Linked DNA regions of Pelodiscus sinensis. The protein of the gene in region 2 purifies or fractionates together with the protein of the main gene of each other region. This does not show direct contact. Links are inferred from orthologs where the notes say so. Each region holds a gene or a part of one and is shown on either strand. Other genes may lie near its edges.

Evidence for each region. The genes of interacting proteins can lie anywhere in the genome.
Region 1: the proteins of STK3 (region 2) and MAP1B purify together in Homo sapiens (affinity purification with mass spectrometry; 4 studies listed by BioGRID and IntAct, with this or other methods). This does not show direct contact. The link is inferred for Pelodiscus sinensis from reciprocal best matches to the Homo sapiens genes STK3 and MAP1B.

Annotation. Positions count from the first base shown.
Region 1 is NC_134716.1:82,107,759-82,118,001, reverse strand, and holds the start of MAP1B (microtubule-associated protein 1B), read right to left. Parts: upstream 4,900-10,243; 5' UTR 4,276-4,899; coding exon 4,098-4,275; intron 1-4,097. UniProt on the Homo sapiens protein: Facilitates tyrosination of alpha-tubulin in neuronal microtubules. Phosphorylated MAP1B is required for proper microtubule dynamics and plays a role in the cytoskeletal changes that accompany neuronal differentiation and neurite extension.
Region 2 is NC_134712.1:37,214,205-37,224,398, reverse strand, and holds the start of STK3 (serine/threonine-protein kinase 3), read right to left. Parts: upstream 4,515-10,194; 5' UTR 4,299-4,514; coding exon 4,276-4,298; intron 1-4,275. UniProt on the Homo sapiens protein: Stress-activated, pro-apoptotic kinase which, following caspase-cleavage, enters the nucleus and induces chromatin condensation followed by internucleosomal DNA fragmentation.

The DNA of each region.
Region 1 (10,243 bases), on a different chromosome or scaffold from region 2:
CCCTATGATTCTATGAACAAATAATATCAAACCCTGGATGATGACAAATTGTGCTGTTTAGGGATAGACTATAAGCATTTGATAGAGCAGGGGGTGGGCAACAATTTTTGATGGGGACCACTCCAAGATTTTGGGAAGTGTCCAAGAGCTGCACTTTTCTATGGAGATGGTGCGGGATCTGGTATGGAGGTTGAGTGCAGAAGGGATCTAGGGATACAGTACTGTAGTGCAGGAGATGGTGCGGGATCTGGTATGGAGGTTGAGTGCAGAAGGGATCTAGGGATACGGTACTGTAGTGCAGGAGAGGGTGTGGGGTCTGAGAGGGAGTTTGGGTGAAGGAGGAGGTTGGAACCTGGGTAGGGGATTTGTGCTGCAGGGTCCAGGAGGGGCTATGGGTGCAGGAGAGGATTCTAGCCTGGGAGAAGGGTGTAGGAGGAAGTGCAGGGTCTGGGAGGGAGTTGTGACCTGGGGCAGGGATGCAGAAGGTTTAGGTGGTGACATAGGATAGGGAGTCAGGGTATTGGGGTGGGGTGGAGGGGTTGGGGCGCCCAAGGTAGGCTGTGGCCAGGAGGTGTTTATCTAGGTAGCTCTTATCCAGCGATACATTGGGACCTTCAGGCACACTCCCTGCCTGCTGCAGCCCCAGGTTCAAAGCAATTGGCTGTTCCATGTGGCTTTCTGTGCTGGTGCAGAAGATTTCATATGCTCCCTACCCCTAAAACAATCTCTCATCTTCTACTGGCTAGTTTCTGCCTCCAGAGAGCCTCATGAAGCAGCCAGAAACTTTGAGATGCTTCGTGCCCAAGAGTCCCAGCAGGGCAGGCCGTACGCCAGATTAAAAGGCTTAATAGATCTTGCCTGCTGTTGTGATAGATCTATTAAGGAACACAGATGTTGACACAGCAATGTTGCAAGTACATAGGGTCTGTCCTGCCATCAAATCGATGCATGGATATCCTTTTGATGCAAATAGGTAGAATATGGATTTATGCCCAGTTTGAGATTCTGCAATACAGTACTGGAACAGAGCCAGATTGCTCAGTCTGTCAATGCGAAAAATACAAGATTCAAGAAAATGCTGGAAGCTTAACATAATATGTAACTGTTTATCTTAAAGAGCATTTTCTGTACTTGAAGGTCCATGATTCAGCATTTCTGATAAACACCAAATTTCCAATAGTAGAAGGGATAACGTTAGGTATAATTGAGATGGTTTATAGAGATAAATCTGGAACTATGGGCAATTCAAAGACAAATAACTATATTGTTATACATGCAGTCAGTGGAAGTACAATGAACTGGGATCATTCCTTTTTTCTGGAATATTAGGAATACAGATGTTCCTAACCCTGGACCAATTATACAGAAGAAGATCTTGAAGCCATTTTTCACACATAAAAAGGCAATCCTAGACCACTAGTAGACTGCCATTTCAAAACAAGAAAGATACTTCAGAATTCTAAAATACAGTTGGTAAATTCAAAATGAGAATGTCTCTCTTCATAAAATTTAAAGCAAATGAATTTGTAATCATCCAGTCTGTACAAGACCAATCATTTGATGTAAATCACCAACATAATATCTTCTCTGATATCTGTTTCTCTTCAGTACTGTAAAAGAATCCACATTCTTCAGTGAGGATGTTCAAAAGACATACCAAAGAAAACTTAACAGGGATGTTGAACTCCTGAAGGCCTTGTTGAGAATGGATGGTTTTGGAATGGACTATTTTTTCCAGATAGTAGTATGCTTTCCTCAGACAAGAGGTTCATCAAGCCCATATTTGCTCCACAAATATATAGCTAAGGACTCCCCCAGTGTGTTAATCCAGAACAAAGCATCTGAACATTAGTAACAGCTCCAGTGGTTGACTTCCTAATCAGATCATCTGCCACCTGCAGGAAAAAGATGACTTCTAATCCAACATTTTGAGTAGACGGCCCACGGGGTTGCTTATAAATATCTAAAATGTTAAAAGATGCCACCTAAACTCACAAAACTTAGCAACAATGGAAACAAGACAGCAGGAATTGCATAGCAGTAGCTTCAAGAGCCTGAAGAGAATTTCTCCAGAGGAAGGATGACATCAGATGTCTTGAGGGCAGAAGACACATCCGTTTGCTCTATTAATTATTAATAATTTGATTTAAAATACAGCCAACTCAGCTTTATGTCAATCAAAACTTGGGTAAAATTAGGACAATACTATGATCAAGTGGCTCTAAATTTCAGAGCACCAGCAGTTTTCACTACAAGACAATGGCAGCTATAAAGTAAAAAGGTAATTTTACAAGGTGGTTAACGCCTTACTCAGAAAGGAGTAAAAATAAATTTGGAAGTAAAACAGATAGGGGGTGATGAAGCAACAATAGAAAAGACAATTGAAGTCCTATGGGGACTGCTGAACCACACCTACAAACCAGGAACAGTAACCAATTCACTGTTTCAAGGTCTCTGACAATGGAAATTCTGTAATCTCTACCCTCATCAGCTCAAAACAAAAAAACATGTTACCAAAACATGTAGCTTAATAAATTATGGCATCTAGTAACTAATGATTTTATTTGTATTGCATGTTAATTGTGCAGTCATAACATTTTCTAATACTGAAATCTATTTTAGAAACAATAGTCAAGGATTTATTGAGAAAAATCTCTGGTTTTCACTTTTATTTTGCTGGAATTGTGATTTTAAAAAAAATTAAAGCAAATAAACCCTTAGTCATAGCAGCAGCCTGTAGCTGGCTAATGTAAGAATTATGAAAGTGAATGTTCAGCTATTGAAATTTTAATCACTTAAATCTTTTTGTGGTTCTTCTGTAAAATCTGTATCTGTAAATATTTCAAACAAAAAAACCTCTATTGCTGAAAGTTAGAAACAATAGATGCAGCTGCTTTACTGCTCAGGGGTTCCTTGCTATTCAGAACTAGCATTCTCGAAATCCCTTTGGTTTTATTTTGTTGTGAGGAAATGCAGTTTTTAAAATATATATTTATTTTAAAAATGTATTTTTCTTGTCTATGTGAACGCCCTTTGTCCGCTATGGGCTGCCATAGGGACCGCAGTGCGGACTGCACCACGCCCACGAGCCGGTATCTCTGGGCAGACAGACTCCAGCAGCACCAAGAGGGGAATAGAGAAAGCGAAGGAGGCATTGCTGCTGCTGCTGCAGAAGACCGGAACGACCTCTGCAGAAAAAATCACTAGCACAGCGCAGTAACAATGGCGGGGGGGGGGGGGGGGGGGAGGAATCTGAGGAGTGGGAAAAACTCGAGATCAGTTGGGGTGGGGCAAAGAGGTCTGTTGTCTCACTCGTTCACCCCCTTCCTTGTGTCTCGGGCAGTGTGGGTGCAGCAAAAGCCAACTGCAGATCTTTGTGTGGGGGGAGCCGATGCGATATAGAAGGAGCCTCCTTCATCTCTGCTGCTGTTGCTGCTTTGCACATTGGCCATGAACGTCTCACGACACTGCACCTCAACTACTAGATTAACAGCAGCGTGTGCACAAAGATCCCATTCCTGCCGTCTGTCCCCCGTCCTTTATGTCTAGACATTCTCGGTGAAGAAGTGACCCCTAGGAGTCTAGATCCGAGGCAGGCGAAGGAAAGGGGTAGAAGACCCGGCCCCGCCCCAGCAGGCAGGGATCTCAGGACGGCTTTCCTTCTGCAATGGCAAAAAAGGGCCCGGGGCACTGATGACACCAAAGGTGGGGTGCCCCTCCCGCGACGAGCAAAGGGCGGTTTCTCCCCCTCTGCGCCAAACCGAGAGCCCCCTCGCCCCAGTCAGTAGGTACAGCTGCAGCCCAGCCCGCCCTCCCTCCGCGCCCCGGCAAGGCGCGGGGCAGCAGCCAAGGAGGCTGGAGCCCGCCTGGGCTGAGCTCCTGCCAACTGTTCGCGCGGCAGCCCGCAGCAGAGGCTTCTCCCCGCCGAGCCCAGGGAGCGGTCGCGTCAGAGCGGTCCCCCCTGGCGGCTCGGGGAAGGCAACCCCCTGAGTCCCGGCGCGGAGCATTTATTGCCGATAAAAGCGCCGGGGGGGGGGGGGGGGTCTCCCGAAGAGACTTGGGCGCAACCTGTGGTTGTCCCCGCGCCGGGCGCTTACCTCGCTCTATGGTGCCGATGGCCCGTCTCAGCTGCTCCTCGGTCACCAGCTCGCCCAGGACCACCAGCAGGTAGAACTTGCTGTCGAGGAAGCGGTGCGAGAGGCTGGGCGAGGGGGGCGCCGGGCTGGGGACACTACAAGACGGGTCCGGCTCCGCTTCCACCACCACGGTCGCCATCCTGCCGGCCCCTCTCCGCCTCCTCTGGCCGCTGCTCGGGATGGGGGAAGGGTTGTCTCCAGCGGTGCGTCGCGCCTCGGCGCGGAGCTGCTGCCGAGTGCTGCCGGGCTGCGGGCAGCAGGCGAGTGAAGGCGGGCGGGGAGGCGGCGGCGCTTTTATACCGAGACGGTGCAGGGCTGGGACCCGAGGAGGAGGAGGAGGGGACCCGGCACATCCCGGCGCGTTGCTGCTGCCGCTGCTCCAGCATCCACAGCTGATGTCATCTGCAGCAAATCATCCCCGGCGCTGCCTCCGGAAGCAGAAGGAATGAGGTTTGCAAACAATGCCCGAGGCTGAGCAAGGTGAGGGGGGCCTGGGGCCCAGCAAACTGGCCCCTGCCTCTGCAGAGAAGCCCTGCACCCCCGGCCTCAGCACAGCTCCAACGATAGGGAAAAGTTCAGACTGAAGCAGACCCCTCTTTCCCCCCCAGCCTCAGCTGACACGCAGCACAGAGCTTTTCCTTTCCTCTCCTCTCCAAAACTGCATGGGAGCAGCACCTTCGGATGGCACCGTAATTTGCCTGTCATAACTCCACCAAGACCCTAACCACAGAATTTGCACCCCAATCCATATGAGAACTTGAAGTTTTGCCCATTTTGAATTGGGCAGGTCCTGAAGTGCAGAGCCACAGGTCACCTTGTGGGGCTCGTGGGGATGTAGCTTTTGGTCCAGGCCCCATCTCCATTCACAAAAATAACATCCCTTTTTAAAAAGTACTGTGTCACAACAATCACAGTAGTGGTTTCCAAACTCCTGCATTGCACCATAACACTGCTGCTGAAAGAACTTGGGGAAGATTCTGTAGAATACTAAAGTGTGTTTTTAGCAGCAGGAATTCACATATTCCCTCATCTTTTTATTTTAAAACCAATTACAGTATTAAGACACCCTCAAACAAAGGCCTTTGTTAACAAACTCAGTGCTCTGTAGCTATAGAATTCAGTCCTGCAAAATGGCCCTACCATGCTGCCTTGGATAGACTACAGAAATAAACAAACACCACAGTCCCTGCATAAACAGTTTGAGCCTGAGCTCCACCAGTAACATCTGAAAGAACACATCCAGAATAGTGAGTTTAGAAAGGATGTAAATTCTTGTGCACCAATGCATAAAGATAACCTCTACCCTAGCCAGTTGAGAAGACACTTATCTTGTGGACAGGTTCTCTCATTACTTTATGCAGGGCTTAATGCACTTTCCTCTGAAAACAGCACTGGCTCCTGTCAAATACAAAAAATGTCAGCTGACTAGACCTTATTTTCATGAAGTATGTCAACTCCTATGTTCCCAAAATGTGTTTGTTTTTACTGCACATTGGCATCACTGTAATAAACATGTATTTCAGATGTTATAAATATAATAGCAATAACTTATTTGTATTACAGTAGGGCCTGGGGCCCCATCCAAGATCAGGACTCCATGTTGCTAACCACTGTATAAGCAAATAAAGGGAGTCTTTGCCTAGGTGAGTTTACTGTCCAAGTAAGCAAGAAAAAGAAACAATGAGAGAAAAGAGGCACAGGGAAGTGAGAGTTTTGTCTAAAGTTACAAAAAGCAGATCAGTGACAGAACCAAAAATAAATCCCATTTCTCCTGCCTGCCTATTCACTAAGGACCATATTGCATGTCTTGTTATAGCCATTTCATATAACCAGGTGTTTCTAAACATGAATAAACCTTCTCAAAATAAAAACAGAGAGCCTGACAAATGCTGGCTAAAATGTGATTAGAGTGTCCTCTAACCATGCATTTACATGACACCATGTTTCCTGCGTTCATATAGTTTCCTTGGTGCTATTAGCCATGTAAATTGTGTTATAAACTAGGCACAAGCATTTTGACAGCCATGTTATGTAAACCCAGAAAACTCAGTGGAAAAGAAAAACTGTACTGAACAATTCCTAGCAAGTTTCCTAAAATAGAAAAGTCTTAATGGACACAAATATGCTGCAAAAAGTGTCACTAATATGAACCATGTTCTACTAGTTGTGACTATAGTTTTCTTTTTTTCCTGCTGTTTGTAGTGTTTTTCATAGTATCCTTGCACTGGTCTATGTTGATACATACAAGTACACACAAATACATATGGATGTATTTTTTTCCCCATTTTCCCATTGCAAAACCCCATTGCACGCATACTGATTCACCAGTTCAGTTACAGACGTGCTGAGAGGGCTCTGTAATTTTGTGGAGGAATGCACAGATGCAAGCAACTTCCAAAATTCTTTCCCGTTTCCACACATGGGCTTTCTGGTATGCATACATGTGTATTATCAGCAGGATTTGACCCATAAGCTGAGGAGAGGGTGCATCTGAATAGTATTTTACTACACGTTTGCAAAATAGAATGATAATGATTCCCAGGATTTCACACATCACAATCACAGTGAGTCAAGTTCATTAATGGTATTAAATGCATTTCATCACACAAGGTGCATTACATGGGTGACTGACTAGTGTCTTCTATTTAAAAAATAAATAAACAATCACTACCACAGAAACAAACAACTCTGGAAAAATTATCTGTTGAGGTTTAGGAGATAGGGTTTACTTAAAACAAACACTACAAAACCCCATAACTATAATAAGTGTTTTGAAACACTTGAGGAAGGTGATCAGGAACAGTCAATGTGGATTCACGAAGGGCAAGTCATGCCTGACCAAACTGATTGCCTTCTATGATAAGGTAAGTGGCTCTGTGGGTATGGGGAAAGTGGTGGCTGTGATATACCTTTACTTTAACAAAGCTTTAGATATGGCCTCCCATAGTATTCTTGCTGGCAAGTTAAAGTAATATGGTCTGGATGTATAAACTGTAAGGTATAGAAAGCTGGCTAGATTGCAGGCTCAACAAGTAGAAATCAATATGCTTGATGTCTAGTTGGCAGCCTATATCAAGCGGAGTGTCCTAGGGGCATACATACATGGGGCCAGTTTTGTTCAATATCTTTATTAATTATCTGGAAAATAGGTTAGTTTGCACTCTCAGCAAGTTTGTGGATTAAACTAAGCTGGGCGGGAAGGTAGATATGCTGGAGCATAGGGACAGTGACCTAGACAAATTGGAGGATTAGGCCAAAAGAAATCTGATGTGGGTCAACAAGGGCAAGTGCAGAGTCCTACACTTAGGACGGAAGAATCTCATGCACTGCTATGGACTGGGGACCCACTGGCTAAGTGGCAGTTGTGCAGAAAAGGGCTTGGAGATTATAGCAGATGTGAAGCTGGATATGAGTCAATAGTGTGCCCTTGTTGCCAAGAAGGCTATCCACATATTAAGCTGCATAAGGAGGAACATTGTGAGCAGTTCTAGGATATGTCTACACTGCATGGCTATTTCGGGATATCTCCGGTATCCCGAAATAGCTAGCCTACATCTACACAAGCTGCCCATTATTTTGAAATATTTTTCAAAATAATGGGTGCACTATTTCACCATCCTGGTAAGCCTCCTTGTAAGAGGGATAAGGGATGGCTCAAAATAGCATGTTATTTTGAAATGTGGTGCTGTTAGACATACCAAATTTCAAATTTCAAAATAGATTCAAGATAAGAACACAATTTGCACAATTCAAATTGCGTAATCTTATTTTGAGTTTAGGGTGCTGTGTAGACATAGCCCTAGGGAAGCAATTATTCTCCTTTATTTGGCACTGGTGAGGCCACATCTGGAGTATTGCATTCAGTTCCCCCTCTCCCCACTCCTCACCCAGAAGGGATGGAACAAATTAGAGAGAGACCAGGTGAAGGCAACAAAAATTATTAGGGGGCCAGGGCACATGACTAAAGAGCAGAGGCTGAGAGAATTGTGCTCATTAGTCTTCAGAAGAGAAGAACAAGAGGCAATTTGATACCAGCCTTCAGCTATGTGAAGCAGGATTCCAAAGAGGATGGAGCTAGGTATTGTCAGTAGTGGCAGATAACAGAACAAGAAGCAACAGTCTCAAGTTGCTGGGGGAAGATATTAGGTTGGATATTAGGAAAACTATTTCACTAGGAGGGTGATGAAGCACTGGAATAGGTTACCTAGGGAGGTGCTGGAATCTCCATCCCTAGAGGTTTTTAAAGCAAGGTTGAACAAAGCACTGGTTGAAATGATTTAGTTAAGCTTTGTTTAGCTTTGACCCGGGGCTTGGACTAGATGATCTCCTAAGCTATGTATTTGATACAAGTATCCTGCTGAGGCCTATAATTCCATAGTCTTATGTTTTATATTGTGTTGCCACAGACTATATAGATATAACATTACTACAGAAAATGAAATATGACAATTTATAATGTGGTAGGAATATTAAAAACCTTAAGGGGGCTACTGTTTGTAAGACAAATATTTTGTCTTTCTAAATTCTTTGAGGACTGAGTTTGGCTCAGATGTTTTGTATTTCTTAGATAGTCACAAGCACATGGAACTGTCTGATCTAAGGTAAAATTGAGGACAGTTGCATGCTTGTTACAAATGCAGGTCTAGCTTCATGGATATGAATCTTGGAGAAGATTGCAGATCCAGTTACATGGCTGTACATACAATAACTTGCTCTGAAACTTGGGAAAGTAGTTTTTGTTAGTTTTATTTGTTTTGTGATTCAAGATGCCTTGTCTTTGTCTCATAATACTAAGCTTTTCTTACCTGAAAATAAGTTGTCTTACAAGAAAAAATAACATTTGAAAGCACATTTATGTTCTGCAGGATGGAAGCATATCATCAGCTCTTCAGTCAGATGAAATGAGAAGACGTACTGTGCAAAGCTGAATCAATGTCACATGGCCTTCAAAAAAATTTCAACTTCCCACCTGCAGGAAAATTACATAGATATACTAATATGGATAAAAAATAGCAAAATGAATTTAAACTGTACTCATAGGGTGCGTCTAGACTGGCAAGATTTTGTGCAAAAGCAGTTGCTTTTGCGCAAAAACTTGCCAACTGTCTACACTGGCCGCTTGATTTTGCGCAAGAGCACTGACGTTCTACTGTCTGAAATCAGTGCTTCTTGCGCAAAACTTTGACGCTTCCGTTCAGGAAAAAGCCCTCTTGTGGAAATGATTTTGCGCAAGAGGGTCAGTGTAGACGCGCTTTTGTGCAAAAGCACAACGTTGTTACGATAACTCCGGGACCAATCTAGATGCTCTTTTGCAGAAATACTTTTAACAGAAAAACTTTTCCGTTAAAAGTATTTTTGCAAAATCATGCCAGTCTAGAAGCAGCCATACAGATTTAGAAAGAGAGAAACCGTTATCAACTGTTGAAAAAAATATTTAAGGTTCACGTTACTTATCCATTTTGTACTTGCTAACCAAATAGCTATCATAGTATAACAAACTCAGATGATACACTTAAGGCTGCGTTTTCATCTTGGGGATCTGGTTATATTATTAATCTTTTTTTAATTAATTTACAATGTTTAGATGAATGTCAAAAGGTGCTCTATTCACTGCTTGTCTGGTGCCTCGTCTTGGTTATTCTTGGGATTAGTTCTTGAGGTCAACACCCCTTCCTGTGGTTGCACACCATCACACTGTCTGTTTCTCGTATTTACAATTCCTTTCTCATCCCAGAAACCACAGCGTCCTCTTCATGACTCAGCCCTCCAGTTAGGTCACTCAGTGTTCCGTCCCTTCCAGGTACAGTCCTATTCTCGGTCACTTTCACAGAGACCCAGATAGTCTTCCCATTCACTACCCCAATCGTCTATTCCTCACCCTCGGTGGCTGGTAGGGGGAGCTGGGCCTACTTACTACTCTGGGATCTAGTTCAGGGACCATACACTCAGCAGTACTGAGCTTTCCTCTCCCAGCCCTCATTACACCTTCCCTAGATTGCTTCCTACAACTCCTGCAGCCTCAAAACTGCTCCCTCTTCTCAGGCAGTGGCTGCCCTTTCCCAGCTGCAGCCCTTGTTTGTTGTCATCTTCCTGCCTTCATAGAGCCC
Region 2 (10,194 bases):
GCACTCCAAACCCCTAATCCCTGGCCTCACCCCAGAGCCCACACCCCCAGCTGGAGCCTGCACCCCCTCCTGTACCGCTACAATAAATGATGGTGGGAGAGGGAGCAGGGATGGAGCAAGTGAGGTGCAGGGCCTTGGAGAAAGGGTAGGACCTTATGGAAGCAGTGGGTCTCAATTTTCTGCAATTAGAAAGTTGGAAACCCTGCCTGCAACCAGAGTAAACAAAATTCCCACTGAAAACAGTGGAAATATAGTCCAAGATAGCAAGGTTAGGGATTTAATTAGTTTGTACTTGTAAAATGCTACAAGATTCTGGAAGGGTTGTAGAAATACAAGTGGGTTTTTTCTGTAAATACTATTTATTTTATCTAGGAAAAATGCAGTATATAAGTTCTCAATACATTAACTTTAGATTGTGCAACTGAATCAGTATTTGACAGACTTGATGAACCCACAGTGGCTGTATTTCTAGTACATGCACTAGATAGTCAATGAAGTAGTAACAGCTCCAAAACCAAAAAGTAAACAGTGAGTAAAATCCCAAACCAAAAGCCTTAAAGTTGGTGTTAGTTTGAATATATACCAGATAAAATAAAAATGCACCTGCAAAAAAAAAAACAAAAAACCCTCAATGAGTTGTCATTAATATATCTTGTTTTAAAACACATATTTAATACCACAAAAGTTGCTGAGCTGGATTAAAACAAAGTCATCTTATTCTGTAACCCTCTCTCAAAAAGTACCCTGTAACATATGCTTCAGAGGAGTGTTTCCCCAATTTCATTTGGCCACGGAACCCTTTTAAACTCGAAATAATTTTGTGGAACCCCTAATAAGTCTTCTACGTGGAGCTGAAAAAGTAGACCACAAATAAGTAAGGATAATAATAAACAAATGCTAAACAAGGTCATGAGATCAATACAAATGAAAATTGTTTTCAATAAAATTAATAAATGCTTAAATATTTATTTTTTTAAATCATAAAATGTTATTGTAATGGAATTTTCTTGCAGAACCCTTATTTTCACTTCACAGAACTCTGGGGTTCCCCAGAACACCATTTGGGAAACAATGCTTCAGAGGAAAGATACAAGAAAGCTGGCAATCAGCAGTCAGAGGATACCCCTGCTCACTAGGAAAGTTTCCTCCTAAATCCCCCACCTTATCAATTTGTCTGGGGTTTTGCGCTGAAGCATGATAGTTCACATAGCAACATTATGTATGATAAGTTAACTCTCAAAACTGTATTGCTATTATTGATATTAAGGCCTGGTCTAAGGGCAATTTTGTACAACTATATCTACATCAGTTAAAGAAAATACAATCACCTCTAACAGAAAACAAATATACTTCTAAAGGAAGAGGTATAAAACTATACTCATCAATAAACTATAGCACAGGGATTCTGAAACTAGAGGTGTTATAGGGGACGGGGGAGGGGCACAAGCTGTCAGCTTCTATCTCCAATCCTTGTTTCACCTGCAGCATTTATAATAGTGTTAAATGTTTTCATTTACAAAGGGGTCACATTCATAGACTTGCTTTGTGAAAGGATTCGCCAATACAAAAGCTTGAGAACCCCTGCTATAATGGTATCAACACTTCATGCTACTATAACTGCATTCACACTAGGGTGGGGCTATACCCCATTAACTATCAGCAAAGGTAAGGCAATATAACTTTTGTTGTTAGATGAGGCCTTTAGTGTTTTCCTTAAAGCAACAGCTCTTGGGGTTTGTCTACACTAGCAAGTTAGTGCATCTTAACTTTCTCACTTAGGAGTGTAAAAAAAACCACCAGCATCAGCAAGTTACAGCACTGTAAAGCACCAGTGTGAATAATGCTATAGCGCTGGGAGCTGCAGCCCAAGCACTGTTAGCTACTTGCCTCATGTAGATTGTTTACCTAGAGCAGTGTTTCTCAATGAGTGGTACAAGTACCCTTAAGGGTACTCGAGAGCAGTCTGAGGGGTACATCAATACAACTGAAATTTGGAGAAAACTGATTTTGTTAAGTTTTACAGCGCTTTATTATTTTTGTACTTTTTACACCCAAAAATTTCATTGTTCACCCGGCTATGATTAAGTTGTTTAAACAAATGTGTTGCAAGGATAGAAAAAAATTGTGTGTGTCTGAAAACTGTAGGTACTGGGGGTACTTGCAATTTTTTTTTAAAAAAAGGGAGGCCTTTTTTTTTTAAAGGGATATTTAAAAAAAAAAAGTTGAGAAACACTGACAGAGTGCTCGGAGACCTCAGCAGCGCTTTAAACTTTAACATGTGTATACAAAGCTCTGGAATCAAGTTTCTCATCTTCATGGTTGTGGAGAAAAGCCTAAATACATGAACCCTAAAGGCTCAAAATTCAAAATGTATTTAAATCATTATCTGTCAGGGACCTGACAATTTATGAGCCTTTGGGGTTGTCAATTCCACAACAGTAAGGGTTTTTTGTTAAGAGTTTCTAATTTTGGATCTTCCTAATTTACTTGAATAAATCTGCTAATTATGAGATTAAGCTATTTTAACAGTGTTTTTCAAGTAAAAGCTCCATCCAAATCATTTGGATGAAGTCCATGGCTTTTATTATTGTTCTGTTACAGTCTAATAAAAATTCTGGATAATACATTAGTTGCAATTAGCTTCAGATGCTCACATTTTGTGAAAAGCTTTTCTCCAGAAGAACCATAATTAAAACGGAGAGGTGATAATATAGTCATGATTTTTCAAATTCCTGTCCTCTAAAAACAATTAAGTGTCCTTAAGCTATATTTCACTCCAAGCAGCTTTTATTCAGTATTACTGATTATTGTCTATAGCCAACAGAACATTCACATATTCTCCTGGCTTCTGCTGTGTCTTAGGGCAGGTGTATCCTACTGGGAGACTGATGCTGTGACAATCAATTCCCTAGGGATTGATTTAGCAAGTCTTCACGTAGACCTTCTAAATCTACCACTGATCAGTCTCTCTGGCCGACTTCAGTACTCCATCAGAATGAGTAGCATCAGGGAAGTTGAAAGGAGAGTTTCTCCCACTGACCCTGTGGCAACTCGACCTAAGTCCTGGCAACTCCAGCTACGGTATTCATGGGGTGGCATTGCCCTGCAATGTGTAGTGTAGATCTGCAGTTAGATGTGGGCAACTTTTTTTAAAATGAAATTTTAAAAGGTAGCAGTGAAAAAACTAGGATCTTTCAAATGTAAAAGCAATATACTTTACCAATATAATCTCTAAAAGCTGCACTGTGAAGCATGCCCAGAGCCTCACGGAAGCTAGTAGTGGTACACCCATAGCACACGATGTCAATTTCTTCCTCAGCATTAGTTTTAAAAATATAGATTTAAGTTCAGAGCCTAGACTATGTAGTCTGATCTCACAGAAGATTTATTGTCATCCTGACAGTTCTCTGTTGGGCTCAATAAAGGTTAGTCTTCACTTAGAAATTCCGCTATTCCAGAATAATATGGGTTGCTGATTTAACTTAATCCATTAGTTGAGATACATAGGGCCAAGATTTACAAAAGAAGCTAACTGAGCATTATTTATTTAGAAGGGATTGAGATAAAAATATGGAATTTCAATGTCATTTGTAGTCAGGTTCAGACTACAATTGCAATGTAAGATTGAAAGGAAGTTTGTTACAATCTCTGCCATCCCAAAATTAGTTCTATAGACAGAAGAGTGATATATTAGGATTTCCCTCCTGGATTAGTTTTAATGTTGGGTGTTTTTATGTTCTCTTCTTCCACCCTCCATCCCTCGTGAATAAACTAAGTTTGTAGAAAGCAAAGAAGAATCCCTGAGCTGGGGGAAGGCTCATTGTAGGTGTCCAGTCTACATTTCCATCCACCCCCATAGGAATTGGTGCTAAATTGTGTAAGCACATGCCAGTCTTCGCATTCACCCTAGCATTGGGTAGTGACTGTTAAGCGATTTATGGGAGAGGGGGTTACGACCAATAGTGCCACCTCAGAGGGGGAGAGCTTAGCGCCAATGTTGGAGGGAGGGTTGAACTGGCGTCTGTCCCCTCCCCCCACGGAGGGGGAGCGCCAAGGCTGAAGGGGGAGGAGGGGATCACAGGCCGGGGGGCCTAATGTCTCCTCACGTCACTCTCAGTGGGGGAGAGAAGGGGCATATCCCAGCAGTCCCGGGGGAGGGCGGCGCCGGCCGTAGCCCAGTGGTGCCTGGCGAGGCCTAGCTCCAGCTCCTGCCCCCACCCACCAGACCACGCCGCCAGCTGCGCTCAGTGCCAGAGCGAGGACGGGGCTCGATACCTTTTCGGTGCTGCAGGCTCCATGCTGCCACTGTGGGCTGGAAGCGCGCTGAGCCCAGTCCGCCGCGGCGCGATATCGCCTGACAGGCCCCCGCCGGCCCCCCCCCCCTTAACTCCACACAACTTTCCGGCAACTCTGGGGCTGGCCCTTTAAATGCGCCTCGCCTCCCTCTCGAGTCTGAGGCGGACTCTCACACAACCTATCCCAGCGCCACCTAGTCCTAGCCTGCTGGCTGCCCCAGGCCCGCCTCCTTCCTCCTTTCATTGGTTACAGGAGGCGCAAAGGCAAGCACTGATTGGAGGCTAACCAAGTCACTCGCAGCCTCACAAGGCGGAAGGAAAAGTCCCCCAGCCTGGACTGAAGCGGCTGTTGCTGCCCGGGCGAGAGCGAGCGGACTTGTGTCGGAGGGAGAACAATGGGGAGCGCAGAGCGTTCCCAGCATACTGCACGCCTCGCCGGGCCTGGCTGTAGAGCGCCGTATGCTGGGATGTGTAGTTTGCAGCGGTCCGCGGGCCCCGCCGGAGTGACCGCTCCGGGCAGCGGCATCTCACAGCCGGGAGCCCCTTACGCTTCCCCGGCGGCCAGTGCGTGTCCTGCGGGGAGCCGGGCGTGGCACAGCTCCGTTTTAAGGGATACATTAAAGCTCCCTTATCGCAAGGGGCCATTTTGACCGCCACAAAGAGTGGGGCTCCCGGAGGCGTCAGAGCCGACCCTGGCAGTGCTGGGCCCTACGCGGCTCCGCACCAGCGCACGCACCCCCACGGGGGCGGGGGCTGCCCACTCTCTGACCAAACGGACCTGATGCCATTTGCTGCGATAGTGTCCGGTCCCGTAGAGTTGGGAATCCTGGAGCGGGGCAGGGAGGGAGGCCTCCGGGCAGTAGATGGGCGACACAGTGCAGGCCCGACACGACGCCCGCCGAAGAGCAGTAGAGCTGTGAAGGGGAAACAACGCCTCTCTCCAGCCGCCGGCTGCGTGGCTACCACCTGCTCCCCCGGAGCCCTTTGGCCTGCACTTGCGCCACTCACCGCTGCCTAGTGAGTGGGGGGGTTGGTATCGACAGAGCCAGTGTTGACCCCGCAGGGCGTGTGGCGTGGGGATGGGGCCACCAAAACCAGATCAGCACAACCTGTGGCTGCTTAACATCCCATCCCTAGGTACGTGCAGCATAGGCCACCATAAAATTTGAGGCAGCAAACCTAAATTTAGTGGTACCCTAGGCAACTGCACATGCCTAAGGATGGCCAGAAAGGGTGTGTTAGTAGTTAGTTCATTGCTTCAGAGAGGGATGTTAATCTTCAGTCTTTGGCTTCCTCCAGTAGTCCAGGTACACTATTAATATCACAAAGGAAATATTTAAATCTCCCTATTTAAATTAAAGTGTAGGGCAGGTGAGACTTCTGCAGGCAATGCAAACCAGTGGATGTTAATATAAACAATTATTTGCTGGCAATCTCTGAGGATCAGTTTAACAGTCCCTGGTTTAGGCATACGGTCAGTAAACAAGACAGGAGAAACATTCAAACATTGCTTCTTGTCCTATCTACAGGAGTTAAAAACAATTTGTTTCCTACCATCTTGTAACAACTTTTTATATACCTCAAAAGTTTCAGAGGGGGTAACTGTGTTAGTCTGTAACTGACAAAAAAATAACAAATAGTCTTGCAACAACTTAGAAACTAACAAAAAATCTAGATGGTATCATGAACTTTCATGGGCACAACCCACTTCTTCAGATGCATGGAGTTAAGGGGTCCAAGTTCCAAATAAATACCAGAGAAAGAGAGGAGAGGGTACTGTGACATCCTCATTTCTTTATTGTTTTGTCATTATAGTCCTCACTTCTCTATTGTTTATCTGTATGGTCGATCTGGCTAGGTCTAGACTACAAGTATTTGTCGGAAAAAGCTACGCAAAATGCCCTCCACATTTTGCATACCTTTTTCCGATTCTTTTGTCAGAAGAGGCTTTTCCAACATTTGACCCATCTAGAATGGGCCAAATGTCAGGAAAAAAAACCTCTTTCAGAAGCTCCCTTCTTCCTCAGGGAAGGAGGAATACAGGAGCTTGCAAAAGAGCATGTTTCCACTTCCACAAAAAAAAGCGGAAATGCACACGCGTTCCCTGGACTCAGCAGCGTTTTTTTGGGATACTTCTGGTATCCTGAAAAAAACCATAGGCTGTGTCTACATTGGCACCCCTTTCCAGAAAAGGGATGCTAATGAGACCAGTCGGAATTGCAAATGCCGTGGGGGATTTAAATATCCCCTGCGGCATTTGCATGAACATGGCTGCCGCTTTTTTCCGGCTCAGGGTTTTGCCGGAGAAAAACGCAAGTCTAGACGGGATCTTGCGGAAAATAAGCCCTTTTCTGGAAAGTAGGAATAAGGGATCTTCCGGAAAAGGGCTTATTTTCTGCAAGATCCCGTCTAGACCGGCGTTTTTCTCCGGCAAAACCCCGAGCCGGAAAAAAGCGGCAACCATGTTCATGCAAATGCCGCGGGAGATATTTAAATCCCCCACGGCATTTGCAATTCCAACTGGTCTCATTAGCATCCCTTTTCCGGAAAGGGGTGCCAATATAGACACAGCCATAGTGTAGACATAGCCTCTAGTACTTTGCTTCTGTCACAGTGTAATTAACTTTGCAGGGTGTAAACCAATTAAGATGGTGGGATATAATTGGTTAGGTCATTATGTTACAATGTCAGGAATAGTTAGTTAAATTTCAGTAAAATGATTGATTTAGGGATTGCTGAGAATATTACTATATAAATTGAAGGAAAACAAGAAGTAAGTTTGAAAAAGGAAATGGGATTCATGCTTGCTGGAAGCTAACACAAATAAACATCACATTGTTTTCATCTCCAGACTTCAGGTTATTGCTATTCTTTGTTCATACAAGGATTATGGAAGTGGGAGGGTGAAGAGATAAGCCCTCCAACCATAACTATTTCTGGGAACAGTTTTCCAACCAGTTATGCACTCACCTTATAGTAGCTCCATCTAGTCTGAATTTTCCAAGTTTGTTTATGAGATAGTATCAAAAGCCTTACAAAATTCAAGATATCCCACATCTATCACTTCCTCCCTTCCCTATACACAAGACTTATTACCTTGTTAAAGAAAGTAGTTTGGATGTTTTGACACAATTTGTTCTTGATAAATAACAGTCTACACAGAAGGTGATAAATCTAGGTATTTGCAAATTAATTGCTTAATTATTTGCTCCATTATCTTTCTGTGCACTGATGTTAAGCTGACTGACTGGTCTGTAATTTCCTGAGTTGTCTTTATTCACCTTTTTATAGATCGGGCAAATACAATGCCATTTTCCAATCCTCTGGAATCTTTCCCATCTATTTGAAGATAATCACTAGTCACTCAAATATCTCCCAGTCAGATCCCTGAGAATTCTAGGATATACTAATGCTTCATTAAATATGCATATTTAACAAAATGCAAGGAAATGCAGATATCATTGCCATACACATTTATACTTACTCCTGGAGGAATTCTGTGCCAAAAAAAAATCTGCACACAATATATTAACATTTTGCAAATTTTATTTATCAATAAATAAATATGAAGGCTCCAGCATGGTAGTGGTGAGCCCAGGACACTGGCCGAATGGAGGTGGGATATCACCCTGCAAAATGCCGCCCTGAACCTTCACTCCACAGGTAGCTTTTCTGTGCAGTATTACTAGTCACTTGAATTCCCTCAGCTTACAGTTCCAGTTCTGTCATTGATTTTGCTAACGATGTCGCCCTCCCTTAACACCAACATGGAAGAAAAGGTTGCAACACTGGAAAAAACTGTCTCAATGACTGGGCTGAGCAGTCACAAGGGAAAGACCAAGACAGTGAGGAACAACGAGTCCAACACCACCACCATCACACTGGGAGGGGATAACCTGGAATATGTGGAGCAGTTCATCTACGTGGGGAGTATTATGGGCAGAGACAGAGGAACAGACAAGGATATCAATGCTAGGATGGGGAAAGCAACAGCTGCGTTCAAGACTCTTCATCCCATATGGAGTTCACAAATATCTGCTAAGATGAAACTGCGAATCTTCAACACAAATGTGAAAAGTGTGCTCTTGTATGGATGTGAGACCTGGCATATTAAAAAGTCTTAAATCACAAGCTACAGACATTCATAAACAGATGCCTGAGGTACATCCTTCACATCAAATGGCAAGATTTTGTCACAAATAAGGAGCTTTGGAACAGAGCAGGACAAGAACCTCTTGATATACAAGTCAAGAGAAGAAAGTGGGGATAGCTAGGCCACTCTCTCAGACAACCATAATCCAGCATAGTCCATCAAGCCCTCACATGGAACCTACAAGGAAGACGCAAAAGAGGAAGACCTCAGACAACATGGAGAAGATCTACTGAGATTGAAGGACAACAACTGGGGTACTCCTGGAGTCAGCTAGAAGTTTTGTCTCAAAACAGAGTGAAGTGGAAGAGACTTGTAGATGACCTATGCTCCACTTGGAATACAAGGGTTTAAGAAGAAGTGTCAGAGATCTGTTTTGAAAATGTGTGTCTTTTTCAGAGAAATCTCAAAATCTTTCAGACAGACTTAACAGGAAAGATGTTGCATTTTCCCACATTGTATGTTGTTGCTACAGATGAAACCTAAATAAAAACAATGTGGCTACGTCTACACTGGCCCCTTTTCCGGAAGGGGCATGTAAATTTCAGCAGTCGTCGTAGGGAAATCCGCGGGGGATTTAAATATCCCCCGCGGCATTTAAATAAAAATGTCCGCTGCTTTTTTCCGGCTTTTAAAAAAGCCGGAAAAGAGCATCTAGACTGGCCCCGATCCTCCGGAAAAAGTGCCCTTTTCCGGAGGCTCTTATTTGAAGTAAGAATAAGAGCCTCCGGAAAAGGGCACTTTTTCCGGAGGATCGGGGCCAGTCTAGACGCTCTTTTCCGGCTTTTTTAAAAGCCGGAAAAAAGCGGCGGACATTTTTATTTAAATGCCGCGGATTTCCCTACGACGACTGCTGAAATTTACATGCCCCTTCCGGAAAAGGGGCCAGTGTAGACGTAGCCTGTAAGAGGTCCGCAGCAATCTGATCAATTAAAATGTGATTTGAGATTTTAAAATTCCAAAGAATTTGCTTTTATTTGTTTGTGATCCCTTTGTTGTCTCTGTGAATGGGCCTTGATCTTCTGAAGCAAAGAATATTCTTGATTCATTTGCTGAAGGTGTGTTTCAATTAGAAATATTAAGGCTTGAGAGCATAGAGATAAGCGGGACTTTGTGATTTCTGGACTCAAGATGATGACCAGTGTCAGAATAGCCAAAAATCTAACTATCTTTTAATAGTGTTTGGATCAATGTACCTCCACAAATCTGTGTTTTGTACTATAAACATTATAAATATCATTCAATACCAACCCTACAATCACCTGACAGATGAGCATCTTCACCAGTGCATACTCCTTGCCCTGACCTCCTATAAACCACTCTTTACAAAGTTTGCCAGATATCATCAATGTCGCTTCTCCAATTAAAGATTGCCACAAACATAGGCAATAATTTTGTTTTATAATCTTCATTATAATATAGGAATACTAACACTTACATTGCAATCAGGGCCTTTATTTATTGGAAACTGAAGTGTGGTTGTTTTGGGGGGCTTTTTGTTTATTTTCTCATCTGCCTTTTACACAAATGGCTTGCCTCTTATCATAAAATCATAAATCAGCCTGTGGATAGATCTAGTTTAGTATCACTGCCCTAGGCTTTTTTTTTTTTTTTTTTGTCCAAATGCTTTTTCCTTTATTCACATGCCAGTACCTCCAATTTTCCCTACAGAGTTTCTAAAATTTAGCTATGTATTCTCAATGTAAATGGAAGGACAATACATTGAATTCAATGTCAAAAACAGATATA